2 linked regions of the Astyanax mexicanus genome follow. The protein of the gene in region 1 purifies or fractionates together with the protein of each later gene. This does not show direct contact. Links are inferred from orthologs where the notes say so. Each region holds a gene or a part of one and is shown in the gene's direction. Other genes may lie near its edges. The genes, in order: rbm8a and upf2.

What was found.
Region 2: the proteins of rbm8a (region 1) and upf2 purify together in Homo sapiens (co-immunoprecipitation; 6 studies listed by BioGRID and IntAct, with this or other methods). This does not show direct contact. The link is inferred for Astyanax mexicanus from reciprocal best matches to the Homo sapiens genes RBM8A and UPF2.

The regions. Positions count from the first base shown.
Region 1 is NC_064408.1:115,216,304-115,232,480, forward strand, and holds rbm8a (RNA-binding protein 8A), read left to right. Parts: upstream 1-8,302; 5' UTR 8,303-8,356; coding exon 8,357-8,423; intron 8,424-10,072; coding exon 10,073-10,132; intron 10,133-10,246; coding exon 10,247-10,324; intron 10,325-10,830; coding exon 10,831-10,967; intron 10,968-12,275; coding exon 12,276-12,412; intron 12,413-13,541; coding exon 13,542-13,587; 3' UTR 13,588-13,957; downstream 13,958-16,177. Other genes in the region: type-4 ice-structuring protein LS-12, read right to left, coding at 354-480, 599-644.
Region 2 is NC_064409.1:45,002,970-45,018,902, reverse strand, and holds the start of upf2 (regulator of nonsense transcripts 2), read left to right. Parts: upstream 1-8,212; 5' UTR 8,213-8,371; intron 8,372-8,456; exon of another isoform or gene 8,457-9,067; intron 9,068-10,622; exon of another isoform or gene 10,623-10,625; 5' UTR 10,626-10,626; coding exon 10,627-11,000; intron 11,001-11,522; coding exon 11,523-12,302; intron 12,303-12,403; coding exon 12,404-12,564; intron 12,565-13,266; coding exon 13,267-13,458; intron 13,459-13,540; coding exon 13,541-13,696; intron 13,697-14,376; coding exon 14,377-14,480; intron 14,481-14,829; coding exon 14,830-14,915; intron 14,916-15,062; coding exon 15,063-15,171; intron 15,172-15,274; coding exon 15,275-15,388; intron 15,389-15,479; coding exon 15,480-15,596; intron 15,597-15,933. Other genes in the region: protein FAM180A, read left to right, coding at 3,230-3,327, 6,558-6,887. UniProt on the Homo sapiens protein: Involved in nonsense-mediated decay (NMD) of mRNAs containing premature stop codons by associating with the nuclear exon junction complex (EJC).

The DNA.
Region 1 (16,177 bases):
TGTGTCTGGGAGGAGCTTAAGAAAATATATAATCACTTCAGAATACATTTTTACTGATAGGCTGTTTAACATATTGGCTGGCTAATGTTACTATTTGGTAATCTCAAAAACAGCAGTGGCTATGCTATAGTGCATTCTGGGTATTGTAGTAAAATAACTTTTAATTATGTAAACACAGAAGGTGTATTAAATCATTAATTCTGTCAGTAAAGCTGATAAATGCAATTATGTGTTATAAAATGTTAAATATCTTTATAAATACTATTTTAAGCATTCTAAAAATGCCAGTTCTGTATAGATTCTACACACAGGTGAGTGAAAAAGCTCAGAAACAGTGCATGTCTGAAACTCACTTGGCCATGTTGGCCAGCTCAGGTCCCTCAACTGTCTTCAGAGCATCGACCAGGCCCTGGAAGTACTGGCCCATCTTCTGCAGCTCCTCGGGCACCTCTCTCTTGGCCAGGCTGGCAGACTCAGAGCCTGAGATACAAAGTGCAACTAGGGTTAATGTCCTTAAAAATAAAATATGAACAGTATTGCTTCTATATAATTCTTATATTAATAATTATATTCATTATTAGTCTTATATAAAGCTTACCAATGGCCAGAGCAACAACAAGGGCAGCGATGAGGAAGAACTTCATGATTGCAGACTGACTGAGCAAGGCGTGCCTGCAATAGAAACACAATAAATGGATGGGTTATTTCATTTTTTTATATACCATTGCTACAAATTAAAAATATAAATATACAGCTCTGGGGAAAAAAATAAGAGACCACCTAAAATTGGTGAGTTTCTTTGATTTTACCAAATTAAAAACCTCAACCATCAAACCAAAAACCATCAAACCAAAAAGAACTGCTTGAATTTTTGCACCAGGAGTAAAGGCATAACGTTATTCAAAAGCAGTGTGTAAGACTGGTGGAGGAGAACATGCCAAGATGCATGAAAACTGTGATTAAAACCAGCGTTATTCCACCAAATATTGATTGAAATATTGAACTCCTAAAACTTTATAAATATGAAATTGTTTTCTTTGCATTATTTGAGGTCTGAAAGCTCTACATCTTTTTTGTTATTTCAGCCATTTCTCATTTTCTGTAAATAAATTATCTAAATGACTGTTTTTATTTGAAATGTGGAAGAAATGTTGTCTGTAGTTTATAGAATAAAATAACAACGTTCATTTTACTCAAACATAAACCTATAAATAACAAAATCAGAGAAAATTATTCAGAAACTGAAGTGATCTTGTTATTTTTTCCAGAGCTGTACATAAATATAATTCATATAAATATGTCTTTTGTGTGAATATAAACAAAGTAGTATTTGGCAAACAAAGTAACTTAATCTAGACTTTGTATAAAATATTATTAGTGTAGCATAATGAAAAAATTATTAGTTAAAAAGTAAATACAGCAAATATAGCAAACCAAATACAAAATAGACTGCTTTTAGTAATACTATAGTATCACTATATATAGATTTTATTGATAATATTGTTAAACAATTTGGTGAAAAAAAGTAACATTATTTAAACTTTAATATTAGTAAAGCATCTGAAAAAGAAAATGCCTAAAAAAACACTATACCAGTTAGTATTACATTAATAGCTTACAATATCCATTTTCTAAAAGTGCTATTTAGTTACTAATCTATTTAAGCACACTCTTGATTAAAATATAAAAAGAAACATTGCATTAATTGCAATAGATTAAAAGGTTCTCTAAAGATTTATACAACAATTAAATCAAAAGATTCTCCACCATAGAAAAGAATCTATATACAGCCATCTATAACTATGTTTAGGTTGGTAAAAGTGAGAGACACAGACTGGTAGCAGAGGTCTTACCTTCTCTGTGGGGTAATGTAGGACCTGAAGGTGCATTGTCTCAGGAGCTGAGGTCTTTTATACAGGCTGGGTCAGAGTGAAGAGCAGGGTTCAAAGGGTGATCTGAATTGATGAGATCACTCAGTGTAATGTGTGTGAGTATCGTTAGTGAACCTTGAGGCTTTATCTGGCACTGTGAAGTTTTAAAGTCAATGTTCAGCGATAATCTTTAACATTATCAGCAACACTAACTACACATAATGTACATTATTCCATAGAAATACAATAATTACCACCAATTTACACTGTACATACATGTTTTAATTATTAAAACACCTCAAATATATCAGTATATGTAATATTTGTCATTATGATATTGATTCCTGTTAAATGATTTCAGGCTGAGAGGCCTAACCAGGGGGTGGGTGTTGTGGTAAAATATTATATTACAATATTTGTAAAAAGTTTTTTAAAGGTATGAAGCAAGGCTGTAATCATAATATCTATTGTAGATATTTATATTTAATGTGACAGTCTGTAAGTTTTTAGTAAGAGTGTGTAGTTAAGCCTTAAGCATGCTAAAAAAAAAAGTATTTTTAAAACATGCATTGTGGTGCAGGCACCTTTCAGTGTAAATAAAGCTGGTGATTTTATTTATTAAAGGAACTAAAACTAAAACTGTCCAAACCAAACTAGCCCAAACTATGTACTAATATGTGAAATGTGTGAAATATTTGTGTAAATATAAACAAAGTAGTATATACCCTATACTTTGTATGAAATATTATTAGTGTAGCATAATGAAAAATTAATTAATAAAAAAAGTAAATGCAGCAAATAGCAAAACACATACAACATAGACTGCTTTTAATAAAAATCATGGTATCCCAATATCTATATTTTCTGGCTGATATTCTTAAACAATATGTTGAAAAAAATCTAACTTCATTATAAATATTTTAATATAATATAAAAACATCTGAGAAAGAAAATGCCTAAATTAAAGACTAAAACAGTTAGTATTACATTAATAGCTTAAGATCCGTTTTTTTTTTTAAGTTATATTTACTTATTAATTTGTACACTAAGTACACTCCTGGTAAAATAAGCAAACAAAATCCCAAACATTACATTAATTGCAACTGTTTAAAAGGTTTACAAGTCATTTCTAAAGCTTTGGGACTCCAGCAGACCGCAGTGAGAGCTATTATTCACAAATGGAGGAAACATGAAACACTGGTGAACCTTCCCAGGAGTGACCGGCTGACTGAAATTACTCCAAAAGGGCATGGACAAAATAATATTTTATTATTATTTTATCTTTATTTTACTTTATCTTTATATTTACCTGTTTTAACAATTGCTCATTTGGGTGGAACTGGATTGTGGGAATACAGTTTTGTTCCAACTCATGTACAGCATGTGATGTGAAATGACGTTACAGTTTTTTGACCTTTTTTTATTTAATTTGACTGGCTTTAATTTATGTATTTTCTTTCTTTGTCACGTTTTGGTTTGTTTTCAATCCCTCTGCACTTTATCAACATGCTTTTTATTGCTGAATTACGTTGATAATGATTATGTGTGCTGATGAAACCTGTGGCACAGTGACTACACAGCAGTTACATGTTAGTTTACTGTTCAGCAGGTCGAAGTCTGGTCTTGCCAACACGACTGTGGTTATATCAGCCGCTGATTGGCTTTATCTGCAGGTCGTGCTGGTGATACACGCTGACTAACGTTCAGCTGAAGTCCACTTTCAGTTTGATAAAAGGTCATGACCACACACTGACCTGTATCTTGGTTTTTTTGTCTGTTAGAGGATACAGTATTTTACCTGCTCATACTCAGTCTGATTTGGTAAGGGGTATCAAACTCATTTACATATATACATTTATTTCATTTTTAATTAATATTTTTTCAACAATACTTAAAAATCTAATTTATAAACCCTTTATAAACCCTTTATAAGGGTAGTCTTATTTTAAAGTGGTTTTAAAATAAGACTACCCTTATAAAGGGTTTATAAAGGGTTTATAAATTAGATTTTTAAGTATTGTTGATTAGGTTGTGAATGCCTTAAAACCTTTGATAAGCAGTTACAACACATTAATTAAAAAGGCAACAGTGATCCTTTGTTTGTTTAGTCATTTGACTTAACTGAGTCATTTCATTTATAGTAAATAGTTAAACATACTTACAAATATATAATATATAATATGACAAGTTTAATGCTGATTGATGGAAAACACAAAGTAAGATCAGTATCTAGAAATATATGAGGTTTGACAGTAGAAATGAGTGTTTGCCATTTTTTTAACTTAGTACTGTTATTTATTTATTAACTGCTTATTAATGAGTTTTAAAGTTTGTAGCCTAATTAATAACCATTAATAATCTCCTTTATAGACCATTCTTAACCCCTTTATAAAGGTAGTGTTATTTTAAAGTGGTACCACATTTTGCTATATAAGCATAGATGTCCATTGTGTATTATAAATATACAGTGAAAAAATAATAATAATTTGATCCCTTGCTGATTTTGTAAGTTTACCCACTGCCGTTGTTTTGTAAGAGCAAAAGACAAAATATATGATAAGGTGGACAGACAAGTAGAGCACAATAGACAATAAATACAGTACAATGTGCAAATTCTGCATTAATTAATACTTAATCTAATTTATCTGCTGTAACGTAGATTACTGTAGACAAAACTGCTGCCTGTTTTAATACCAGTTTCAACAAGTCCTCGTCTTCATCACTTAGCCTCACTTTTTTTTTCATCCTCAGGGGAATCCTACGTGGCTAATAACAATGCAAAACAACGGCATCATATGTTTTATGTATAGTATGTGCAAAAGTTGCAAAGAAATGCTACATTGGAAAGTTTGCACAGCTAATAGATCAATAACAGCACATTATTAATAATAGTGTGATTAACTAGCAAGTTACGCAACAGTTTGACTACAACTCTTCTGCTTTATATAACGCAAATAGTCTCAATCACTTAATTCCTAAATTCTGGTTTATACTTCTCTGTGAAGTCATCACACTGTCTATGGCAGGGGTGTCCAATTTTTTTTTCTTGGGGGCCAGAAGGAAAAATAAATGTGCAGTCACGGGCCACAGACTCTGTAATAAAACAAATAATGAAATATACCACTTATAATAATACATTTTCTTGATAACTATCATTTACACATTATTTTACTTGAGTTACTATCTTTACCTGTCATTGAGAGTGTTGTGTAAACTAAGATTTTCAAATCGATGTTTCATTTCATAATGTCTATTACTGATTCCTGACATATTAAACATACACACCTCCCTCTGAGCTCAGTTAAAAAACAGTCATTTTCCCAACGTGCCTGAAATTTTCTGCATTTGCTGTCTATTTTCCATTTCTTTGGAGCTGCCATGTTCTCCCAAAAGCTCAGGAACAATATTGTAGATATAATGAAGTGAGAAAAGGAGGTGAGGAGCGTTTTAGATTGAGTTTATGTGATAGCAACACCCAGCGTTCAAACTTTGAATCTCACATTATAAAAACCTGCTTAATAGCGGGCCTACTTTCAGTTTATTTTCAAAATATCTTGCGGGCCACTCCAAAAAAGGAAACGGGCCAAAAATGGCCCACAGGCCATAGTTTGGACACTCCTGGTCTATGGCATAACCTGTGGGTGTTTATACTTCTACATTTGTGTGTTTGTGGCTCTTCGTCGCTCCACATGTTTAAACCACAAAGACAGCTGCTGCTGTCTGTGTCACATGACGCGTAGTTACTAGGGCTGTCAACGGTAATGCTATGATTTCCTGTTACTTTTAGTCCTGTTACTCATAACAAAAAATAACAGGAGTGAGTGCCAGTAACAGGACTGAGTTTAAGTAACAGGAGTGGTTTTCATTTGGAAGAGTTACAACAAGCAAATGGCACCCATTTAGTGGAATGGCCCTTAAACAGTTATTGTTTGAGACTAATTTCATGATGCAAATATATATTATAGTCTGGAGACACTGAATACACATTAAGAACAGGCAGATAGAGAATAGAAATGTTAAAAAGTGAAGTGCTGTTTTAATTTTAGCAGGTAAAAAAGCAGGTGTTCAGTATAATCAAAATCTGTCCTAGTCCTTCGTTTTTTGGTGCCACATTTGTTGTTACGCTCACTTTTCCTCAACTGTGCTGCCTAAGATGTTGTGAAAGCCCTGTCGTTGTGATGGTTGTTGTATTGTACATATTGCACTACTGAGCTGCGGAGATGTCAGAGGCCTGGGCAGCCCTGTTTTTCTCTTTCTTTCTGCCTTTTTCTGTCATGTGTGAACCCCCATAGAGGCCGGCAGAATGGCCGAATTCACATTTAAAAACAGCACTTGTGCTCCTTCCAGTGGCGTCATCAAAGCCAATCCCAGTTCAATGGCTCAGTCAATTGGCCCGATGGGAGGCAGCGCATTTTCTAAAATGACCTTCTTCTGGGCGATTTGAGCACTCCAGCTCCCAGCATGAGCCGAAGTATTGAAACTAACATTGAGGAGATAATTGGGGCAAAATCTGAAAAAAAAAAACTTGCTTAGCAACGCAGCAAGCGAGAGAGACAGAGTGGGGTTAGAGGAAACAGTGAACTGAATGCAACTGAAGCAAGGGTGGCCATATATAGACCATATACGTATAGGATACAGGCTGCTATTTAAGATTATTAGATCACGATGAGGGGAATTTTATTGTATGCAGACACATAGTAGCAGGGTAGCTACTGTAAATATATATTTATATATTTATATATAAATATAAATGTTACTTGGGTCCTGCACTGACCTGTGTTATATGTGTTTGTGAGATCTATATAAACAAAGATAAGCGATAAAGGTATTTTTCTTGCAGTTTCTATCTCGTGTGCCTTATTTTTTGCACTATAGGGCGCACCGGATTATAGGGTGCACTTTCAATAAATGTCCAGTAAACATCTATTTCCATACATAAAGACACTACTAACTAGTAACTAGTAGAAACAGGGATATCGTCATGTTTTCCTTCTACATTCAGCAGGTAAAGCTATGCTAAGTAAACTAAAATGTAATTCTTAAAAAAAGCATTTTAGACTAGTCAGACAAGCAAACGAGTGCTGGATGTTCATCTACAGAGATTTCTTTCCTGAAAACTGTTTATTTGGGTGAGTAAAGTGCTTCTATTTATTAACAGTAAGCCTAGATTTCCAGATTTCCTCTAAAGCTGGAGCATTAGCAATAACGGCTAACCACTAGCAGTTAGCGGCTAATTCCACCAGACAATGCTACACTGAGGAACCCTGAGATTTCCTGTAAGCCGGGGCGATATTAGCTAACAGTCTGTCCCATGTTGCTTGTTCTAACACGGTAAACGTGCAGGCTACAGTCTGATATACTCGCCTCTAAACGGAGAAAGAGCTAGCGCTGTGGTTAGCAGCTAATGCTAATGCTGCTCCAGCAGTGCTAGCCAGAAAATGATCAACCCAAAAAGAATAGGGAAATTCACAATAAACAAAACAAGTGCTCAATGGTTTCAGTAGCTCCTTAAAAATATAACAGCATCACCCATATGAAAAAATGTATACAAAGCTCAAAATAGCATTTAATTGGTAGCACCTTAATAATGTTATAAGGCAGCTCTTTTGTTATTATGTTTTAATAATATTTGCATGAGTAAGACTCCAGATTTTTTTTCAATTGGTTGAACTGATAAAACTGTACCCTGATAGCAAAGAAGTGTGAAATGAATTGACATAATTTTTTGTTGCATCACATATTTAAAGGTTGATGATTTAAACTTTAAACTAAAGCTTGTCTTTTTAATTGACTTACTTGCACTTAAGGCAGTCAATCAAAGTCTGATGGAAACAATTGTAGGACATTATCACATATTATATAATATAAACTAAAATAAAATCAAAACCAAAAAACTATAGAATGCAAATAAATTTGAAAAGTTTTTAAATTGAAATGGAATTCTATGTAATTTCTTATTTTTAATCTGTCGCAAATTTACTAAAATACATCTATATAGTTATTTAGTTCCGTATATATACAAATGTTTGGTATACTTTTTTTTTGGTTAGCAAATTTCATCATATGTATATAGTATAGTATTATGTAAAATTATAATCAAATCTATTATTTTTTGAATTTGCGGTTAAATAAGAGGTAATCACAAATAAACAAAATGTATTGGTCTATAATGGGATTATCATTACTTCAATCCAAAAATGACAAGAAAATATACAATTTAACAAAGCTTGTCTGTAAAAAATGATCATTTTATAGGTAGGTAGTTTAGTAAGGAAGAAACTTTGTGAACTGAATGAAATAATTTTTAATAATTATTTTAATCCAGCTATTTTTAATAGTTTTTTCCAGAGGCGGCTGTACCTGCTGGAAGCCGGTAGGCGGCGCTGCCCGGGTTCGCCTCTCCTTTCTCGCTTTAACTGCGTCACCGGCGCGCATAGAGAAGAGCGCACTGCGCATGCGCATCACTGCTCACACGAACAGGCATCATGGCGGACGTGCTGGATCTTCATGAAGCGGGAGGAGAAGACTTTCCTATGGATGAGGATGGTGATGGTGCGTCTTTACTGCGGGTTTAACCCGCTGTTTAAACCGTGTGTGGTGTACTGTAGCTGTTCTGTAGCTGTGCGGGCGGGTAGTTTCTGTTATTTTGTCCGGACTGAGCGGTAAAGCTCGGTTGAGGCCTGGTCCGCCCGCCCTCGCCGCGACTAGCACGAGCTAAACCCGAACAAACAGACCCGGTTTAACCCGTTTACTCTCAGTTTAGCTTATTATCTTTATCTTATGTCGGGGTTTCCTATTAGTCTGCGTTATTTAGTTGAGGTATTTAAGAAAATATTCAGTAGTTTTCCAGTAGCTCCAGCTTTCTGTATTTTCTCTGTTAGTCTTCCAGTAACGAACACTCACACACTTAATAGAGACAAAAAGTTTGTGTAGTTCCACCTTAAATGATGCTGAATAGCCGCGCTGTTTAAGGTGGAATGGAAATATTCAGTAGTTGTCCAGTAGTTCCTCCAGCTTTCTATATTTTCTCTATTAGTGTTCCAGTAACGAACACTCACACACTTACTAGAGACAAAACGCTTGTTTAGTTCCACCTTAAATGATGCTGAATAGCCGCGCTGTTTAAGGTGGAATGGAAATAGTCAGTAGTTGTCCGGAAGCTCCAGCGTCATATTCACTCTTTTAGTGTTCCAGTAATGCCTACTTATTTTGCTTTGAGACAAAAAAAATCCTTCCACCTTAAATGCTGTTATGAAGCCAAACTATTTAAGGTGGAATGGAACATACCTAGTCGTTGTCCAGTAGCTCCAGCGTTCTTTATTTCTAAATATATTAGGAGACCAAGCTTTTCTGTTTACTCCAGTGTTTAGTTCTACCTTCAAGGGTGCTACAGCGGCTGCACTATTTAAGGTGGAATGAAGATATTCAGTACCTGTCCCGTAGCTCCAGCCTGTATTCCCGTGTTTTTTATACCGTAAATTTGTAATTTACCTACTTTGCCTAGAAAAAACAAACTTCTGTTTATTCTAGTGTTTAGTTCCACCTTAAATGGTGCTATCAGCCAAACTATTTAAGGTAGAATGGAAAATATGCAGGGGTTATTCAGTAGATCCTATATTGTTAGAGTGTATTAGTAGACGAAGCTTGCCTTTGTATTGCATTGTTTAGTTCCACTCTAATTGGTGCTGCAGCAGCTGCGCTATTTAAGGTGAAATTAAATAAATCCAGTAGCTTCTTGCTTCAGCTTCTTGTATTGTCTGAGCGTATTAGCTAGCTAGTCTAATGACTAGATTTAGCTAACCTATTGAGTTTGCTTGGGGACATAAATATTTGTCTATTTATTGCACTCTAGTTCCACATTAAATTAGCTGCACTGTTTAAGGTGGAATGAGATCAATCCGCTAGCTTCTGCTCTCAGTATTGTCTGAGTGTATTGGCGAGAGTTCCAGTAATGACTGCAGTTATTGTTAGAGTTTGCTTGGAAGCAAAGTTTTTTTTTTTTTTTTTTTTTTTTTGTTAATTGATGTTCTTCTGTATCAGCATCACTATTTAAGGTGGAATGGAAATATTCTGTAGTTGTCCATTAGCTCCAGCTTCATGTATTCTCTTTGCCTAGAGGCAAAAAACTCTACCTAAAATGGTGCTGATCAAATGCGTTATTTATAGTGGAATACATCTGTGTATTTTATTTTTTTTTGCAGAGAGCATCCACAAGCTAAAGGAGAAGGCAAAGAAGAGGAAGGGTCGTGGATTTGGATCTGGTAAGTAATATTGATTTTTGTGCAAAATAAAAAGTTTTCTCTCTTTATGGTTATAACACTAATATATTTCTTTTGACTGTACTCTGTAACTAAATATTTGTGTTTTAACACCAGAGGAAGGAGCGAGGTCCCGAGTGAGAGAAGACTATGATACAGTGGAACAAGATGGTGATGAGCCTGGCCCACAAAGATGTGAGTTATCAGATTGGATATTGGAAAGAATTGGCATGATGTTAATTGTTCTTAATACTGGTATTAGTCTTTAATACTGTTACCCCTCTCTAACCACCTAATAGGGCTGCAAACCTCAGCACCATCAAAGTGATTTTATAATGTTATAAATGTTTTCCAACATGTTTTAAGTATTAATGTTCCTCACTAAAGATATTCTTATAAATTAATCAAGCAGTTTACAACCTCATAAAATGAAATGTACATTTACACAAGTCATATTCTTTCCAGTATATTATATTATATTATGCGAAAAATGTTTGCACACTTTTCCCCCTTTTACACTAAATGTAGTGGACTCTAAACTACCTAAATGAATGAAAATGTTAAAAGAATGTGATTGAGGTGGTTTAAAGTGTGTGGAGCTTGAAGCCAGTCTGATTTACCCCATATTTCAGTAAATTGAGTGTTTTACGCAATTAAAGAAAAGCATCATTCTATTATTTTTGTTCACGCTGTATTTTCAGCTGTTGAAGGATGGATCCTGTTTGTGACTGGCGTTCATGAGGAGGCAACGGAAGAAGATATCCATGACAAATTTTCTGAATTTGGAGAAATCAAGAACCTGCATCTCAACTTGGACAGAAGAACGGGTTACCTTAAGGCAAGTCTGCAGCATTCCACCTTCAAACAATTTCTATATTTGCGTGCCACACAAATTAGGCGATATACTTCACATCAACGCAATTTTGCTATGAACATTGTCCATGTCAGATAAACACTCCCAAAAATCTGTAAAATTTTAGATTTACTGGAATTAAGAAATCCTTTACATTTCATGGAAAATCTATGTAAGAAATTGTATTTTAAGCCAGTTTGCTTCATTTCTATTGGTCATGAAAAAACAGCATTAAGAAACAATCAGCTACTTTTCACTATATTTACTTAATGTACACCTTCTGTTTAGACATACTATAATTGTTATTAAGCTATCTTTTCCTTACTTTCCCTAGAGCTAACACTAGTCATACGTTACTAAAACTGATACTAAAAAAAAAAAAAAAAAAAAGAATACAGAGAAACTACAAAACACAGTAATCTGCCTTGGTTTGGAAACCAAGTTTGGCCTCCCTAAGTGTAAAGCTGTGAATCCATGGGTTTGTCTTCTTACTAGAGGGATTTGTTGGGAATAATGTGTTCAGGCGACCACTAAGTGGCAGTATTTTATAAGAACAAACAGAGGCTTTCTTTTACTTAAGGTATTGAAGATGCATTGGGTGTATTTCCACATCTACTGTGTTTTACTGACGCACTTGAAATACTTAAATATTTGATTTTGATATTTATTTATTTATTTATTTTTATTTAAGTTATAAATGCTCAGCTGCATGAAAAATGGACAATACCCAAGTAAAAATAAAGTTTGATTGAGTGACACTAAACCTAAGAGAGTTATATCCACCCAAGGACTTGGTGTAGAATAAGAAATCAAACCTCTGGGGAAGGCAGTAGGAACCCACTACACTACCTCAGGGAGCCACATTTCTCTTCCAGCTTGTTGTAGATTTTGCCTCAAAGTATTAAAATAATATTGTATAATGTTAATTTAAATAATTTCAAAACATTATGTAAGCTGTTAATATATACAGCATGGGTCATTCATCCTCCTTATAACAAAAAGATCCACCCTGAATTAGTTTTTCTAATGCCATTTAAACAAATTTACATAAATCCTCCCACACAACAGCCTCCCCCATTCACTATGTTCTAAAGATATAAGAAGTGCTATTTGTATGAAGCACAGTACAGGCCATTCAAATAGAGGGCATTTGCATATCAGCAGCCTGTTTATCAGGTAATATAAAACCAAATTACACTTATATTGTAAGTGGACCTCGGGGAGAAAATAAGATCAATTAAAGTATGGTCATATTACTCAGAGCTTCATTTTGTACTGGTGTTTTCCTCACAGGGCTACGCACTGGTGGAATATGAAACGTACAAGGAGGCACAGGCTGCCATGGAGGGTCTGAACGGTCAAGATCTTATGGGTCAGCCAATCAGTGTTGATTGGTGCTTTGTTCGGGGACCACCAAAGGGCAAGAGGAGGTGAGTATCATAATACATTAGACTTTTATAACTTTTTTTTTTTTGTTTTGTTTGTTTTTCATTTACTGATTCAAGACCACAACCACAATCAAAATTGCTTCGTTTTTTGAACCATTGCATATTGTGTGTATATATACATTGTATACTCTAATTGATCAGGTTAGAAATACTTATCTATATGTATGCTTGGCATTATTTGTATTTTATAGATTTGAATTATTGGCTCTCATTTCTCTTGTTAAAGGATGATCTTAACCAAATATACAAACATGAGTAACAATAAATGAAAGCTAGTAGAGATGTAATGGTACACTGAATTCAGTTTGGGTTGGCTCTGAGTGGTCCGGTGGACTAAGGCGCTTCCACTATGATTGGAGGAATGCTGATTCGAATCCCGGCAGTGCAGTTTGCCATCAGCTGCTGGAGCCCTGAGAAAGCACAATTGGTCTTGCTCTCTCTGGGTGGGTAGATGGTGCTCTCTCCACTTTCACTCCAAAGGGTGATGTTGATCAGCACAAGGCATCTGTGAGCTTATGTATCAGAACAGAGTCACTGCACTTTCCTCTGAGTGCACTGTGATGATACTCGACAATGCTGCATCAGCTATGATTTCTTGAGATGACATTTAATGAAAGAAGGTTAGAAAGTCGCAATGTATAATAATAATAATAATAATAAGAGCAGTAAATAAAGTAAAGATGACGAAAATGTCGTTCACTCTGTGTAGATAACTAACTGCTATTATTTTGGCAATGCTCATATTTCCTACAATACCATGCTTTGGTATCTGCTGTTTATGGGATACACAAATGTATTATCACATTGCTTCGTGTCCAATAAGAACAAGGTCCTCTTTGTAATTGTCAGGGATTTACTGCACTGTTAGCAGTGTTTAGTATTTTGCACAGAATATGATGGTATGACTTCCTTGGTTTCATATGTCTTATGTATAAAATTATTAAAATTTTGGCTTTGTGCGATCAGTGAGAGGTCCCATTACTTTATTGAGAAAAATGGATCAAACAGCAGGTATGACGGGCACTCAGGGTACAGCAGAAAGAGTTAGTGTGTTATTCTTTAAATCTTCAGTGTGAATAATCAAATGTGTGTTTCTCTTCTTTTCTCAAAGGGGTGGAAGGAGGCGTAGCAGAAGTCCAGACAGAAGGCGACGCTGATTTCCTCTACTCTGCTTTTTACAGAGCCTTGTATTCCACACACAGTGTGACAGCATGTGTTTCTCTAATGGGCTGTTTTTAGATTTTGGTGTTTTTGTTATTTTCTGTTTTCCGTATTGCCACCAGCTGCAGTGTGTAGCCTTCTTTGTAACGAAGACCGAACGAACTCTGCAGCAGCATTTGTAATATTAAAGTTACGTTGTCTGTATAGTATTGGTTTTACTTTTAATTTTTTGTACAAAATTAAAGAAACTGGTCCTTTAAAACCTGTGTAGGTTTCCAATGTCTCATAGCACCTATAGTAATACACAGTCATTAATTTTAAATGGTGCTCATGTGTACACTTTCAATAAATTTTTGTTTGGGGCTATGTCTGTTTCTCTGGTAAATTTGTTCAGCTTTTAAGAAACACAAACTTTTCTTTTACAGAGTTACAATGTGGTTGTTCTGACACATTCAGTTTTTAAAAATTGGAAATGTGTAAAATTAGCAGAATAACTAACTAAAGTTTCGTGATGTTTAGTAAATAATGGTTCACTTGATTGCAATGAAGCAGTTGCATTAAATCATTTATAATATGGTGGAGGCAGACAGTGTTTTCATAAGAGTATTTGATTGCATGTACGTATTTGAAGGATGACCTTATCCCCAGGGCACCAATAGACATGGTGCCAATGGCTATATATAGATATAGATAGATATAGATATAGCTATAGAGATATAGATATTATTATTATTTTTTTTCCCCAAAGAGTCGTATTTTGTTGCCAGTACTTCTGTACAGGGACTAGACAAACTGCATGTGCAAATTTCTATCAGTAATGAGTGCAACTTACTGTAGCTGAATACATTCTGTAGACAGAAATTCCATAAATGTGTTCAGTGGCACTTTAAATCAATTCTTTAGTGGAACATTAGCAGAAAACATCTCTGATATAGTGAAGAATTTGTAGTGGATTAAAGGGTAACTAAACCCCCTGATTTTAGCTGACTTCACCCTAAGCTAAAATTGGTTAAGGCTTAAAAAATGAGAGGGGCACTGGGTGAAGTATGGGTTTAGAGGTGGGGCAGGAGGGAGAGCTGATTGGTGGAGCCTCTGATAGCGGTGAGACGCAGATGGTTGGACATCAGCAGGGGTTTGGTATTACTGATTAGCTGATCTGCATATTGTGATGTGTCTGCGTACCAAAGTACGCGGACACGTCATCCTCGCCTATAAGCACAGTTGAACCTGCCCCAATAAGCCAGCTTTAAATTCATGTTTATAATGGACATTTTATTCCTATTTGTCTAGGTCCAACTGTCAGTTTGCACGTGTAAAATCATTCTAAATTTCACCTCTAGCTGAGTAGTCTGAATCACAGGGCATGTTCTTGCTTCTCCTGTGTTATTGAAGATGCATCAGACGTTCAATAGGTACAGCCAGATAATCCACCATTTATTTCACACCATGCTGCTGTTCAATTTGTAGAATGACAGTACAGTGTTTGTTAGCTAGTCTGCACTACTAAGCTTGTTAGTCTAAACTTAGTGTATCTTGTATTGAAAATCTATATTTTATATCGATAATTTGGAAGAATTTTTACTTTGCAAAATAGAAAAAATAGAATTTTGGTCTACAGCCCCCTTGCAGGACCACTGTGGCCCACAGGTTGAAAAACACTGTTGTAGCGTATGCTTGGGAGAAATGTCTACCACGGTAAAGTTATTCACCGTTTGGTTATGAAAGCTACTACATTTTATACATTTTAAAATATATAAAATTTAATAATTCGTAGAATTGGCAGTGTATCATAAATATAAAGCGTGTGTGTGTTTGTTGCCACCTAGCTGTATCATACACACTTGTTTTTATTATTCTGTGTGATTCGGTTTGAAAGCTATTACATTTTACAATGTATATAATTTAATAATTAGTAGAATTGGCAATGTATCCAAATTTCAAAGAGTGTGTGTGTTTCCTGACACCTAGCTGTATCATACACACTTATTTTTAGTGTTCTGTGTAATTCGGTTTAAATTCTATTGATTTTTTAAATATATAAAATGTAATATTCACTAGAATTGGCACTGTATCCAAAATATAAATGGTGTGCGTGTCTGCTTCCACCTAGCTGTGACATACACAGTTGCTGAAATGCTATTGAATTTGTGAATATATAAAATATAATAAAAAATTAGAGCATTTTGCATAATATTAATGGGTGTGCAATTTTCCTCATGACTCAAAGTATACATCTCCGTTATTCTGATGTGTATGAACCCTAAGGATATGGAGCTATTGGTGTGTTTTTTTCTTAAAGCCATCTATTCTTATGTGGGAACATTAATAGGCATTTTTATGCACTGAAGTGATTTGGAGGTAAATAAATGAGTGTGTACAGATGTAGAGGTGGTCTAGAAGTACATGCATTTTATTCTGACAGGAAAAGTGCGCTTAGTTTTTCGGTATTAACGCTAAAAGGGCGTTGCGCAAATTTCACCCAAACAGTAAAAGGAAGGGTGTGCGTCACTCTCTGTGGTCGTACTGTCCTGACTATGTAAGTATCTGCTGGCTACCATCCTCCGTTCAGAAGTTATTAGAGCCGAA
Region 2 (15,933 bases), on another chromosome or scaffold:
TCGGCACTGGAACTAATTTCCAGCAGGCTAATAATGACTCCAAACGTACATATACTGTATCGAGCTCTGCTTGCTGTTAGCGAAAGCCTCATATCCAGGAAATTAACCCATAATCAGTTTTGCATGCACTGTCACACTGTCAGACATTTCTTGGGTAACTCAAACCTGGTAAGCAAGGAAGCTAAAACAGACAAGGCAAATGGGTACTGTGCTAAGCTAAAAGCAAACACTATCCAATCAGCATTTGCCATTTCTTCTCCAATGCCCATTTCCTCAAACAAGATCTAACTTATTAGAAATGTAAATGAAAGCCAAGCCTGGTCAGTGAGTAGTGAGTAAATACTGTGCTAGGCTTAATGCTAATGCTAATCAACTGAGTGGTCAAGCTGGTTTCCAGCTTAGATTTTGATCAACATAGGCTATGTTTTCATATGATTTTGGTTTATGGTTTAGCTTGTATACAATTATGATCAATCTGAACAAGCTAAACAACTTGTGCGGCAGTAGAACTGCCTCTCCCTTCTAAGAGGATTTTACATCAGATGATGGACCATTGCTGTAAGGATTTAATTGCATTAAGCCATGAGAGCAATGGTGTTATGATATACTGATACTAGATGATCAAATCTGGATTAAAAACACCACTCATCCCATAGTTAGTGAAGATGAAGATACACAAATTCAGGTAATGTTCCAGAGCATCACAGCCTAATGCTAGGGAACTTCATACATCTGTATCTGACAGGAGGCATAGTAAATTGTTTTCATGCTCCAGTGTCTTATACCATTGGCATTGGTTTCAGATGTAATGTTTATATTGCCCACATACTTGGCACTGGTGACTTTAAACAAGCATCACATGCTTGAGACAAAGTTATTTAACCATAATTATGATGCCAATATTTTCTGGCCCATTTAAAAAAAATATTTTTTTTTTGTGTTGTCCAATACACACAAAGGAAATAAACATCTGTATAACAAAACATATGATTGCAATACATTTCTAAAATAATAATTGCTAGAAATACCGTTGGTGTGCCAACACTTTTGGCCATGACTGTAAAGTATGTTTGCTGCTTAACCAGGTGCTAAGAAGGTTTCTCTGACATCATGAGGCATTTCAATTTCAAACACCAGCGTCCAGTAAACCACCGGCGTGTTTTTAAGAGAGTGTCTGGGGTGAGTGGACTGCATTCCAGCACTCTCAGTCACATGTGCCTTTCTGGTGAATTTCAGCACTGTGTGATCGCTTGTTGGATTCCATGGAAAGCACATAAAACATGTTTCTGCTTTAAATTTGCAACAAGAGGTTAAAGATTTATTAGTGGCTACTGTTCCATATGTCCACTTGATGCCAAATCCCTACGTAAAGTAGACAAAGACTGCTGATATCTGTAGTAAGGCTTGTAGGCATATGCTGAACAATTGTACTTGCATATGGTGACCATATTTTAGATTTTTTTTTTTTAAGAGGACAACACTGGAAACATGCCGGTGTCTGCTGTGGTTGGGATGTTGTCATGAGGAAGTTCAAGGATGGCTAAGTTGACGCTAAGTTAACGCTTTAAGACGCTGCCACCATTATCCAAGGATCACCGGTTTTAATTCACTGGCACTACCAAAGTAATGTTGGTCAGCACAGGCATCTGTTAGCTGATGTATCAGAGCTTGGGAGCAGTGCTTACCTCTAAGAACACTTACTATTTTAGCAGAAGTTCAAAAAGAGACTGTGGCTAACTTCATACGTGTTGGAAGACGTATGTGCGAGACTTTACACTTCTAGTGTTGGGGGGATAGTGATACTAGTGATTCCTAAGGATATTATACACAATACAAAATGTTAAACACATCTTAATCACTTAATTGAGGTGTTTCTATCTGTTGCATTGCCACATGTGTATAAATTTAAGCATCTAGCCCTACAGTCTGTCTTTACAAATATTATAGAAAGAATGGCTGGTTCCAAAGAGCTCACTGAACTCCATTATGGTCCTGGAATTACAAAAGGGATATTATAATCGTCTTTAAAATGAAAGCTTTGAGGAACCACAGCAACTAAGTGCTACAATGTGTCTGACAGTTACAGTAAAGTTACAGAGTGGGATCTTTGAGTGCCGAAAAGTCCCCAATGCTCTGCTGATTCAATAACTGTAAAGTTCCACACTCCATATTAATGCAGATGATTCATATCAATGCATATATGTTTAAAATCGGATGTAATAAAGCTAATGTACATGTAATGTGTGCATGTACCTTTACTTTTTATGACCAAATCATCTTCTTTTATTTCAACTCAAGTGAACAAAAATACTGCTTTTACCATATTTTACATTAATTTTTTTTTTTTTGTATGAAAATAAAGTTTGATTAGAATATTTTAGCGCACATGATGTATTTTACGGACTACAATTTTGTGTAGTTGGTTAGATTCAAGCTTTTATGGATCTTTCAGAATATTTGGTCCACATGGTTTCACTAAGAGACAATCATAACATATTTTTCTTTTACTGATTTTGTGTTTATTTATTTTTTTTTTAGGACTGCTGTTCTGTTCTTGTTATACAGTGTTCTGTTTTCTCTTTTTAGTTTTCTTTCCCTTTCTCTCTATCTCTCTATTTTTCTGTCTTTTTCTGCAAAGCGGGAGGAACAGTGGCTGCATGTAATTACATGCAGCAGGTACATATAGACCAATAGTGGGGCCGAAAATGCAGGACTTAAAGAGATGTATTTAAAGCTGTAAAAATCCTTTAACAGCACGAGCGCTGACCTTTAGATGCACACACTGACATGAGATCACTGCAAGCTCTGGAATTTAAAAATCCAGACACACCTTTGTAAGATCTCTGATGTCTGGGGGAAGAGATATTATATAGTCACCTTATACTATCATGCATCAGGCTGGCCGCTGTTTGGTGTGACTGCAGACTTGATGAGAGGCAGATACGGCAGCAGAAGCCTGCCACACAGATGCTTGCTTTGAAATCCCCACAGTGGAGCTGTCTGAAGAGCTTTAAAGACAAGCTGTGACCTGTAAGCAGATGAGGCGTGTCCCTGATAAAGCCTCAACCTGCCAGTCAAAGGGTATATAACTTCCAGACAGTCCATCAGTCCTCTCCCACCAGATGTTTAAAGTGTTCTGGTTTAAGGTCTGTCACGGTTATGAAGTGAAGATAAACCTTTCTCCCCTTCACCCTTTGAACTCACTGACCTTAAACCCTCTTTTTTTCAGCACTGTACCCCTCTGCCTTCAGAGTAAAGAGAGGAACACCAACTCTACTTAACCCCTCCATCCAGAAAACTGTGGAGGACACCAACTTAGTCTATGAGGTATGTTCCCTCCACTGTTTTTACCTTGTATTGTGTTTTGAGAACCAACAATCTAAATCCCTAATCAAGAAATACAATTTTGGCAAGACAAAGGGATAAACAGAGACACAAAAAAGGTCTGCAAAGGACGATGGTCAGAAACAAAAATGAGGGTTACACAAGCAATAAACAAAGGAAACGCATTGTAGCAGAGCTAGCTAACTAGATTCAATACTCGGTGAGGGACAAAGAAAACAGAGAGGTATATATACAAGACAGGCCAGGTGCAAACAATCAGTAACTGGGAGAGTGGGAATGTCAAAGCTTCACGTGATCAGCAAAGTCAAGGAAGTCTGTTGTAAGTGCATGCTGGGAATTGGAGTCTTTGTTGTGTAGTTCAGAGTCCAGAGCTGGCAGACTGACAGCTACAGGACTGACAGTCACACTGTACCATATTATTAAATATAGGTGTGTCAATAAATACAGGGTATTTGATGTCTGGTAGGTGGTGTGCACTGTCTGGAGCTATGTGGGAAGCTTGTACCCCACCTGTTATATAGTGTATAATGCACACTGCAGGTATAGAACATCACACATCTGCCTCGAACCATGTGGATTTATTCTCTTTAACATTGCAATTGCAACATACAAAGCCAAATGTACTGTATGTAGTGTTTAAAGTAAAACATGTATTGTGTAAAGTATTTCTCACTATCTTTATATTTAACTTTATTTTATAACGTGTCTTGGTTGACTTATTGCATGTGGGTAAAGGCAACAATGTTTTTGACCAGTACCTGTCAATCAGCATTAAAGTAGAAATTGAAATGACACTTACAACATGACCAAACCTAAACAATTTAGACCTTAAATTCATGTAGACAAACACAAGATAAACACAGACTTTCTTACATCAGTTTTTCTGTCTGACTCCGAGATCCTCACAGCATTTTTTTTTCTTTAGCCCAATGGAGCTTCTACTTTTTTCCAATACTTTTGTATCCATCAACTTCTCTTCACTGAGGTAAACAAGGCAAGCAATGATGCTACTAGCACAAACACCACCAGGCAGTCAACAAACCTGCACATACAGACTCATCCTGTTTCTCCTACAGAAGCCCTGAGCTCCGTCTCTACACTGCTTTGAAACAAATTAGGCTGCTCCCGAACACACTGTAGAAGAGTTCGAGTGTTTCTGTCTGTCTCTTTCAGAAACAGAGTTTTTACCTTCAGAAGTACCAGGAGAAAAATGAAATTCCATCACAACACAATCTCTGACTTTTTCATGAAAGTAGAATGGAAGTTAATAAAACAAGAGTGAGAGAAAGTGTGATGGTAGAGAGAATCTGACAAACTTCGATAACGTGTTTCTTCAGGCCCTGTTCAACCTGGGCAATGGGCTTTAATAGAAAATGTAAGCTGCAGGAACACTGCTCTCTGGATAGAATGTGCTCCAGTACAATGTAATATACAATATAAACCCCTGTTCCTAATGGAATTTATTAGGAGACTGAAGAGTTGCAAGAAAAATAGCAGTTAATTATTAGGTATCTTATCAAAAACATATCAGTAATGTAGCAGCATCTGAACATTCAGTAGATCATCAACAGACTTTTACAGAAGATGTCTCCTGAATTCAGTTGTTTTTCACTTTCATGGACTGAGGTTAAGTTTAGGACTAGTGTCAGGATAATGGTTAGGATTAGGCCTTGTTTTGAGGTCAGGATTTGGATTATGGCCAGAGTTAGATTTAGGTTTTCTAAAGTTCGGGTAATGATTTGGACTGAGGTTAAGGTAAGGGGTAGGTTTTTGGACTGAGGTTAAAATTAAGATTAGGTTTTGGACGGAGGTTGAGGTTAGGGTATTGATTTGTTTTAAGGTTAGGGTTATCATATGGATTGAGGTTAAGGTTAGGGTCAGGTTTTGGACTGAGGTTAAACTAGGGTTAGGCTTTGGACTGAGGTTAAGGTGAGGGTATTGATTTGTTTTAAAGTTAGGGTTATCATATGGATTGAGGTTAAGGTTAGGGTTAGGTTTTGGACTGAGTTTAAGGTTATGGTTAGGTTTTGGACTGAGTTCAAGGTTATGGTTAGGTTTTGGTCTAAGTTTAGGGTTAGGATTTGGACTGAGGTATGGCTTTAGGTTTTGGACTGAGGTTAAGGTTAGGGTTAGGTTTTGGACTGAGGTTATGGTGAAGTTAGGTTTTGGTCTAAATTTAGGGTTAGGGTTAGAATTTGGACTGAGGTTACGGTTACAGTATTGATTTGCTGTAAGGTTAGGGTTATGTTTTGGATTGAGGTTAAGGTTAGGGTCAGGTTTTGGACTGAGGTTAAATTTAGGGTTAGGTTTTGGACTGAGGTTAAGGTTAGGGTTAGGCTTAGGCTTTGGACTGAGGTTAAGGTGAGGGTATTGATTTGTTTTAAAGTTAGGGTTATCATATGGATTGAGGTTAAGGTTAGGGTTATGTTTTGGATTGAGGTTAAGATTAGGGTTAGGTTTTGGACTGAGGTTAAGTTTATGGTTAGGTTTTGGACTGAGGTTAAGTTTATGGTTAGGTTCTGGACTAAGTTTAAGGTTAGGTTTTGGACTGAGGTTAAGGTTACAGTATTGATTTGTTGTAAGATTAGGGTTAGGTTTTAGACTGAGGTTAAGGTTATGGTTAGGTTTTGGACTGAGGTTAAGGTAACAGTATTGATTTGTGGTAAGGTTAGGGGTTATGTTTAGGGCTGAGGTTAAGGTTATGGTTAGGTTTTGGACTGAGGTTAAGCTTATGTATAGATTTTGGATTGAGACTGGAATTTTGGAATTTAATCTCTAATTTGACTACTGGTGCTGCTATACGCCATCTATTGTATCAAAACATAAAATACAATCTGTCAGCTAATATCACGGGACTTCAGCTACCAAATGGAAATAATAGGGTTGGTGTTCTGACTGAAGGTCACTGACAAATAAGAAAAACTGACAGATATCCTGTCAGGGGACTGGTCACACTGCACAGTCAAAATGAACTGTGGCATTACAGTCATAAATATATATATATAAAATATTTTACTAATGTTCAGGTCTTTATCAATACATTGTTCAATATTCAGTATTATTATCAGTAAGTAAATTTAGATTTATTTGTAGGATACTATTTGTAGGATTTTATACCAAATGTAACTGAAACAGTCCAAGGAGTCTTTGCTCTAAATGTATCTCTTTTAATAATGTCTGTCTGTATGATTGTCTGTCTGTTTGTGGCTCAGGCCCTGTGGTCAGGGCTGTATGTGGATGCCAGGGAAGGTGTGCTACGCATGGCTGATGAGGAGTTAGCTTCTCTGAGGCGGCTGCAATCTCTGGAGGTGGTCTGCGAGGACGTCCTTCCCAGAACACTGTCAGACATCCGCCGCCTCTGCCACCAGCTGGAACAGCATCGGGGTCACCTACACAAGGAGGACTTTGAGCGAACTGTGCTCACCATGGTGTACACAGCTCAGAGACTCACACAGGCAACTGCAGGCCACCAGAGGGAGCTGTGGGCAGACACCTTTCTTCAGCTTTATAAAGCCATTAAAGGAGATCTAAGAGCAGAGTGACAGATAACTTTCTTTATTAAATGAACTTTTCAATAAACTTTTAATGAAAGGAGTGGTGATAGGAGTGGTGATAGAGGCCTGTATTTTTATTTTTGTTTGGTTTGTTAAAGAACTGTTATACAAACTTATTAGACGTGTATATGATAAATGAAACATTATATTTGACTTGTACATATGATATATGTATATGTGTATGCTTAGTCTTGGACACCCCTGTTCAAATTTGGGATGTACTCAAGTCAGATTTTGTATGTCGGATTTGTCTGTATAATATCTGACTAACCTACTGTATTTGTTCCTTTTTTTCATGTAAACTTTTAGAAACATAATTGAGCTATCCGCAAGTTTCAGTGATCATTTTTATCTCATTAACATAGACAAATGCTACATGGGAACCTATTTTCTGAGCCTTAAAAATCAATAAAAGGCAGCTGCATATGATTTAAGACTGGAATTGTGGCTTATTTGAGTTGCCAACATATAATGTCTGACTGCCATATGGATTTGTTAAAATAAATAATAGTTATCTGCAGTAACTTCCCCCAAAATTCCAAATTAAAATATTGAGCATTTATTTGAAGAAAATGAGAAATGGCTGAAATAACAAAAGAGACGGAAATCTTTCAGACCTCAAATAATGCAAAGAAAACAAGTTCATATTTATAACGTTTTAGGAGATCAGAAATCAATATATGGTGGATTTAGTTCAGCTTGGTTTGATGGCTGTGATTCAGATTAATTTTAATTTAGTAAAATAAAAGGAAAACTCATAATTTTCAGAGCTGTACTTAGGAAACAGCTTGAAAAACACCCACACCTGTACAAATAGAAAGGTGATATCATGTGAGTGAGATAAAAAAAAAAACTGTCCAGTGTGCTCATGACAATACGACTTGAATGATCAGAGTTTTTGATTAAGCGATTCTGGCTTAAATTACTTTCACACTTTCAGAGGTGTACATATACTTTGTTCTGCAGTAGGATTAAGTTGGGGAAAACAACTAACCTAGTTAGCTAGAGATGCTGAATTGTGAAAGTATATTTATAGACCCACAGTCACAATGCGCTGAACTGAACAAAATGAAAGCGTGGGAGGGCATGAAATCCTCAGTTTGTGATAATTAAATTTGGAAACGCGGCAGTTTATGAAACTGCATCTACCTTATGTAGCTTTAATGCAGGAGTAGAAAACCCCAATAGTGTGTAATTTCAGGAGGAAAATGGGAAAGGTTCACTAGAGTTAATTCGTGCACCAGCTAGGTCTACACCCACATCAGTTTATGAGCTGTTATGATAGCTAACCTCTCTAACGCGCCATGATCGACATGTTCTGCTCTTCCTCTGGACCAGACTGCAGCGCTGCTTATTTTGTTCAGGCGCACGAAATACAGAGCTAGATTTGGGGTCCTTCCTACCAAAGCAGGCAGAGGAAAAAGTAGCCCACCCAGCTAAAACTGCCCTATGTTGTTTATGTTGTTTTGAAGGTAAGATAACGGGGCTGGTGGCGGTTTGGGGAGGGTTTGTGTGGGTAGTGCGGGGTATCGAGCAGCTCGGTAATGTTTACAGAGCGGCCTGAAATTCAGTCGAGCTGAGCTGAGCTAACACTGTTATTACTGACACTCTGCTAACCACTTACTGATTCACCGAGAGGCGGACAGACAGCTATCTAAAGACAGCTTCAGATAGACAGCAGGAGCTCTGCGTTTATTCCGCGCTGTTGGATTGTTAGCGATATATAGCGGGGGTTAATGTGCGGAGTGAGGGGCGCGTAAAGTGTGAAGCTAGTTAGCTAGCGTTAGCTAACAACTCTCGACAGCTAACAGCTAGCTAGCTAACTCGCTATTATCGTTAGCTGTTTAGATTTCTATGGCAAACGGAGTTAGCTCACTTGCTAACGGGCAAATGCCGTAAGATACTTCTATTATACGCAATTTTACAATAACTTGTAAGTTTATTTAGGCCATAATTCAGTTGGGTATGTGGGAATTAGCTAGTTAACTAGCTAGTATTCGGGCGGAAATAAAGAACGAACGCGGTAAACGTAGACAGTATAGCTAGCTAGCTAGCCAGGTTGGCTAATTTTATAGTTAATCATAACTTCGGTTCATGTTTTGAACAGAACAGCTGTCACTGCTACAACTGCAGCTCACTCACGTTACATTCTCCTGGTGTGCACTATGGTGTGTTTGCTTCTTCAACATAAACTAATGTTGTTCTAATGTGTTAACTTATTTATAAAAGGTATGAACTAAACTATTACCTACGTTTGTATTACTAACTACAGTGGCTAGCTGAAGTTAACGCTAGCTAAATAATGTAGCTTGTTAGCTAGCTGGCTTTCTCTTGTCTAACGAACGCTGGCTAACTAAACTAACTTTTTAAAAGTTGTTAGATTTACGCGTTAAATAGTACACCTGTCACACAGTCGTTCTGCTAAATATAGCAACATAAACGCCTTTATTTAGTTCGCTTTAGATTTCAGGTTATTGTGTGTGTAAAATGTTATTTTTTTATGCTGTGACTTTTAACGTAACAAACCAGGTTAAGTGTTTACTACATTCAGATTTCCGCATTACTGAATCAAAACAGGTTGCTCCACACAAACTAGGTTGCTGGATTTTCTCACATGCTGTTTGTGTTTGACAGTATTTTGTCCATGTACAGTTAAAAATAAATGTAAAATTGGTAAGGATATTTTTATGAGGTTGATTTTCTGCCAAAAGTTTTACACAAAAATATAAAATCTTATTAAAAAATTAATTACAGATTATATTTATATAGAAACACAAATAATGAAGCACAAACAAATGAGAGATTTCAACAGCAAACTCCACAGAAACACAAAAATAAAAGAAAAACTAAAATAATTTCCACATAACTGCAAAGTTTGTGATCACACACTAATAGATGTTTTCATGATAGTATTTATCATGTGGCAGATATGCTAATCTGCTGTTTAAAATACTGTTTTATGTATAGTACAGTGATTTTGCTGCACATCATCCAGTTTAACATGATTAATTACACTCTCTGTAATTAAATGTACAGTTGGGTTAATGTTCTTTAGGCACTGATGATATCCCCATAATCAATCAAGTAAATTATTTTCTGTTTTGAATCTTAAACATTTGATTGCAGATTTAATATTTTTGTATAAAAATACTTCTATATTTAAGTGTTTGAACAGGGTGTGACTGTTGAAATAGTACTTGGCCTCTATAAATATTGTGACCCCTCACAGACACTGAGAGGAAAGTTGTAACTAAACCAATGAAAACCATTATATGCCAAGTTTCCATGGCAACCTGTTGATTGCCATGTCATACATTTAATTTCTTAATGTAAAAGTGGTTACTGCACATCAGTTGGTTGTTACTAGTTAAGACACAACATATAGACTTGTGGTGTAACCACATTTAGTGAAAGGATAGTTTAAAGCTAAGTAGTGTTATGGACTTAGTAGAGACTTTACATACAAACTTAAGAATGAGACCCAGCTCTGGTCCTTTATTAGCTACCATTGCCCTGGTAGAGATTCCTCTAATTCCAACACAGGTGATCCATAATTAACTCATTACCTGTTGAGCCTTTGCTGAGACAAATGGCTATATTACAGTAGGAAAACCCTGTAGAATCACTCTTTGGCAATAACAGAAAATGTTGATGTTTCTATTTGCTTGCTCATGCTGTGTTTATAGAACATCCCAAAATAAAAAGAAATGTCTGATGTTTTAGCAGGATGCCTGCTGAACGCAAAAAGTCAGTGAACATGGATGACAAGGAAACAGTCTCCTACACCAGCAAGGAGAAAGAGCGAGATAGAGATGGGGATAGGCGACCCACGTCTTCCCGAGACAAAGGCAAAGATGAGAGCAAAATGAGTGGCAAGAAGGATGGCAACAAGTCTGCGGATGACAAGAAGCGTCGAGTGGAGGAGGAGAAGAGGAAGAAAGAAGAGAAGGAGCGTAAGAAGAAAGAAGAAGAAAAACTAAGGGCTGAGGAAGAGCAGAAAAGGAAGGAGGAAGAAGAGAAGAGGCAACAGGAGGAACAGGAAAAGAAGCTGCTTGAGGAGGAGGCCAAACGACAGAAGGAGGAGGAGGCTGCTCAGTTGAAGTAAGATTTCTGACAGAGGTTTCGACTTTGACTAGTTTTAGCATTTCTGTATAGTGCCAGTGTACAGCCCAGTATGTTCACAGGTAATCTAACAAACTGGACAAAAATTTTAGAAGAGGTTTAAAAAAGATCTATGAAACTATAGTATGTTTATAGTTCCAATTAGATTTACAGCAGCATAGACTGACTATATAAAGGTAAATACCTCCTATGTAACATTTTCCCCATTGTTTATAAACATTATTGCCCCTTTTCCTTTAAAATATTTGAGTATTTAATATTTCTGACAAATTGTTAAGCATTTTATGTGAACCCTTTCATCCTCTGTTATGAGTTGATGTTTGAAAGCTATTATCACATGCACTGTATCACAATTACTGCACAAATGTTATTTTGTTATGGTATTTTTATATTTATATCAGTCTCAGAAGTTTAAAATGGACTAACTATTATCTAACTGTTGGTGTACATGTAAATGTAGCTCTATTGCTGCAGTTTTCAGCTAATGTGTTTGTGTTGTAGGGAGAAAGAGGAAGCGCAGCAGCTGCACCAGGAGGCATGGGAAAGACACCAAACCAGGAAGGAGCTGCGAGGTAAGAACCAGCATGTGCAGGAAAGCCGTCCCGAGGAGGCCTTCTTCAGTCGCCTGGACTCCAGTCTCAAGAAAAACACTGCGTTTGTCAAGAAGCTCCGCACACTCACAGAACAGCAGCGTGATTCCCTCTCGCACGACTTCGCTTCGCTCAATCTCAGCAAATACATTGGAGAAGCCGTCAGCTCACTGGTGGAGGCCAAGCTTAAGATTTCTGATGTGGGTTGTGCTGTACACCTGTGTTCGCTGTTCCACCAGCGCTACGCTGAATTTGCCCCTCTCCTTCTGGCTGCGTGGAAGAGGCACTTTGAGGCGCGCAAAGAGGAGAAGGCTCCAAACGTGAGCAAGTTGCGCACTGACCTACGCTTCATTGCTGAGCTGACTATAGTGGGTCTCTTCACTGATAAGGAAGGGCTCTCTCTCATCTATGAGCAACTGAAGAACATTATCAGTGCTGACCGTGAGACTCACACTCACGTTTCGGTGGTAATAAGCTTTTGCAAGCATTGTGGAGATGACATTGCTGGCCTGGTGCCTCGTCGGGTGAAGAGTGCAGCTGAGAAGTTTAACCTGACATTCCCTCCGAGTGAGATCATCAATATAGAGAAGCAGCAGCCCTTCCAGAATTTGCTGAGAGAGTATTTTACCTCTCTTACCAAACACCTGAAGAAAGATCATAGAGAGCTTCAGAACACTGAAAGGCAAAACAGGTGAGCAAATGTCATAACCATCAGCCCAGTGTATCTCTTTAGTGTAGGTGTACTGGAGCTTCTTCTAAAAACCTCTTATGCTCTATTTCCTTATCTTTCAGGCGTATTCTGCACTCTAAAGGAGAGCTGAGTGAGGACAGGCATAAACAGTATGAGGAGTTTGCCACATGCTATCAGAAACTGCTGGCCAACACCCAGTCTCTGGCTGATTTGCTGGATGAGAACATGCCTGAGCTGCCTCAGGATAAGACTGTCCAAGAAGGTACAAACTCATGCACAACAGGGTTTTTACAACACAAATTGGTTTTGATATAGACCCTTCAAAAAAGTCAAAATACTCTGGAGGTTAAGCATATTCAATCACGAATTGCCAGTTCATTTGAACAAGTGTATGAACCAAATGAAATGTCTGATGTTTATAAATAATACTCACAAATATTATCTAATAATGTCCTTATCATCTAATGCATTTAATGAGGTGCACCTCATAAGTACTGGTAAATTAACAGCTAGCCTAAAAAAAAGCATTTCTAATGACCATATTTTAGCTTTACATTTCTTCCATTTTAGTTATGTTACCTCAATCTCACAATATTGTTCAAATGAATGTTTAAAGTTTTAAACAACAAAACATTTTCAGTGGTTTCAGTTCAATTTGTTGTTTACACCAAGATATAGTCCAAGACTTAGTGAACCAGCAAACCAGCCCTTTGTTTTCAGACAAACATTAAGCGTTTTTGTTTATTGCAATAACACCTTGTGACACAGTATTTAATGTAATAGAATTTGCAAAAGTTTGTTATGTAATAACTTTCAGTTTTATAATGGTTATAAACCCAGAATAGTGGTTAAATGTGGTTTTATGAGTGTCAGGAGTTAATTAGTAACATAGATCCCTACAGAGGTGTGTGAATTACTATTTATGTTGTATGAACAATGTGTTTGTGTGATGTCTGTGTTGCAGAGCATGGTCCAGGCATTGACATCTTCACCCCGGGGAAGCCAGGAGACTATGAGCTTGAAGGAGGAATCTGGGAGGATGAGGATGCACGAAACTTTTATGAAAACCTGGTAGACCTGAAGGCATTTGTTCCTGCCATTCTGTTCAAGGACAATGAAAAGGCCTGTCAGAGCAAAGATAGGGAAGAAAACAAAGGTAGTAAATGGTTGCTGTCACTTTAAGACCTGAGGTCTGATAATTAAGTTGAGCTAAAGTGGAGTCTTTGCTTCCTCTTCAGAAACTAAGGAGGGACGTGATGGGAAAGAAGCAAGTTGCACAGAGGAGCTAGAGCTGGAGCTTGAGGCTCTGGACATCACTGATGACCCTCTGGAACTGGAAGGTGCTGATGAGGCAGAGAGTGAAGAACTGGCCAAGAAACTACTAGATGAGCAAGGTGGTTATAACATGATTTACTTAAGTGTACATAAATCAATACATTAATTTCTCCATATTGTCAATTTCAATACCTCCATATAGTATTACATTGTAAAACAGTAATTACAAACTGCAGTCCATCAGTTCCTCTGCCTCCGTTCACCCTCTTCATTAATGGTCACAACCTCAAAAGGCCACCACAGAACATATTATTATATTATTTAGTTATTAATATTTATCACACTCAGTGAGGCAGTGATACTGACATGATGATGGCAGTAAACATCATCATAAACTGGAAACTGTGCAGCAACAGATGAACATCTTTCTCTAACTTTACATCTATGGTGGACCATTTAGGTAGAAGTGTTAGTAAAATGAACAGTAGATGTGTATGCGTTATTTAAACACTCCAGTAGAAATGCTGTGTGATTCACTATTTGCAACAAAACATACACTAATATTCTACCACCTCCAAATAACAGCGGCTCTGTGGTGGTTAAACAGATTTAACCAGGAGGTGATGTTAAAAAGTGACCTGTCAGTGAAATAATTAATATATAATAAATATAATATAAAGTTATAGAGTTAAATTAAGTACTACATTGTAAAGAACAGCAATTTAATGTTAATGCACCTCTAGAGAGACTGTTTGTTAATTTATTGTCACTGTGTGCTTGTTTGCGTATGTGTGTGTAGAACAAGAGGATGAAGATGCCAGCACTGGATCTCATCTTAAGCTCATCGTTGATGCCTTCATCCAGCAGCTTCCCAACTGTGTCAACAGAGATCTTATTGATAAGGTAAACCTACATTTATGTCTTGCATACCAGAGCACCCAACTCTTCACTTGTCATTCTATTTATTTTGCTCCGCCTGGTTTCATGATATCAGGCGTTCTATAAATAGCGTGTTGAATGAGAGTGTGTGGGTGTACACTTTATAAACAATACTAGGCCTGTTGCACGAGACAGAACTGAAATATGTAGGCCTAAATTTAGATGTCCAGTAGCTGGCTTTTCTGTGTGTGTTTATTGTCTTGTAAAATGCTGATAGGAAAGAATAATATGATATTCAGATATAATGTAAAATTATTTTTTTATGTGCTTTTAAAGTAGTTTAAATATCTTTGTGTGTATGTTTTACTTCAAGGCTGCGATGGACTTCTGTATGAATATGAACACAAAGTCCAACCGCAGGAAGCTTGTTCGTGCCCTTTTCACTGTTCCCAGGCAAAGGTGTGTTCATTTTGATCTTTGTACATGCAGTGATAATGAATTGACACTAGATAGAGCTGTTGCTTTATCTAACATAGCTCTCTCTTTGGATCTTTTTCTTGGAGACTTTGATCTCTGCTAATTTGTGTTTTCTTTTTCTGCTGTTAGACTGGATCTGTTGCCATTCTACTCAAGGCTGGTGGCTACTCTGCACCCTTGCATGTCTGATGTTGCGGAGGATCTCTGCTCCATGCTCAAAGGAGACTTTAGATTCCATGTTAGTATCTTCCTCTTGGCCTCGTATGACAGTTTTTACACATCTATACCCACTTACTCTGCTAACCCAGCTTCATGTCATGATTTATCCATTTCTCTTGTAGGTGAGAAAGAAGGACCAAATCAACATTGAGACCAAAAATAAAACTGTGAGATTTATTGGAGAGTTGTCCAAATTCAAAATGTTTTCCAAAACAGACACTCTGCATTGTCTGAAGGTGAGAAAACATTAACCAGGGTACAATTCACTACTTTTATTTTACTGATATTTTTCTTGTGTATCTAATAGTGTATGTGCTTTGTCTCTAGATGCTGTTGTCTGATTTCTCTCATCACCATATTGAAATGGCCTGCACTCTGCTGGAGACATGTGGACGTTTCCTCTTCAGATCACCTGAATCCCACCTGCGTACCAGCGTTCTACTGGTGAGGCTTATAAATAAGCATGCAAAATTAATGTATTTTTGGTTTGCAATTAGTTCCACAGGTGTCCCTGTGCTGTCTAGTAGATTAGGCTCATTTAAACTGCCTTTATGTTCCATATTATTCAGACTATAAGGCGCAGCGTGCCCTTTATAATTCAGCGCGCCTTATGTATAAATTCTACCAGCCCGGTATTAAGGAGGAGTAAAGCCACTTCACTAAAGTACCACATTATGAGGGTTAGTTTTCAGTAAAAAAAAAAAAAAATCAGAACTAAGGCTGCGTGCAGCAGCATTAGCATTAGCATTAGCCACTACCACAATGCTAGCTCTTTTGCTGT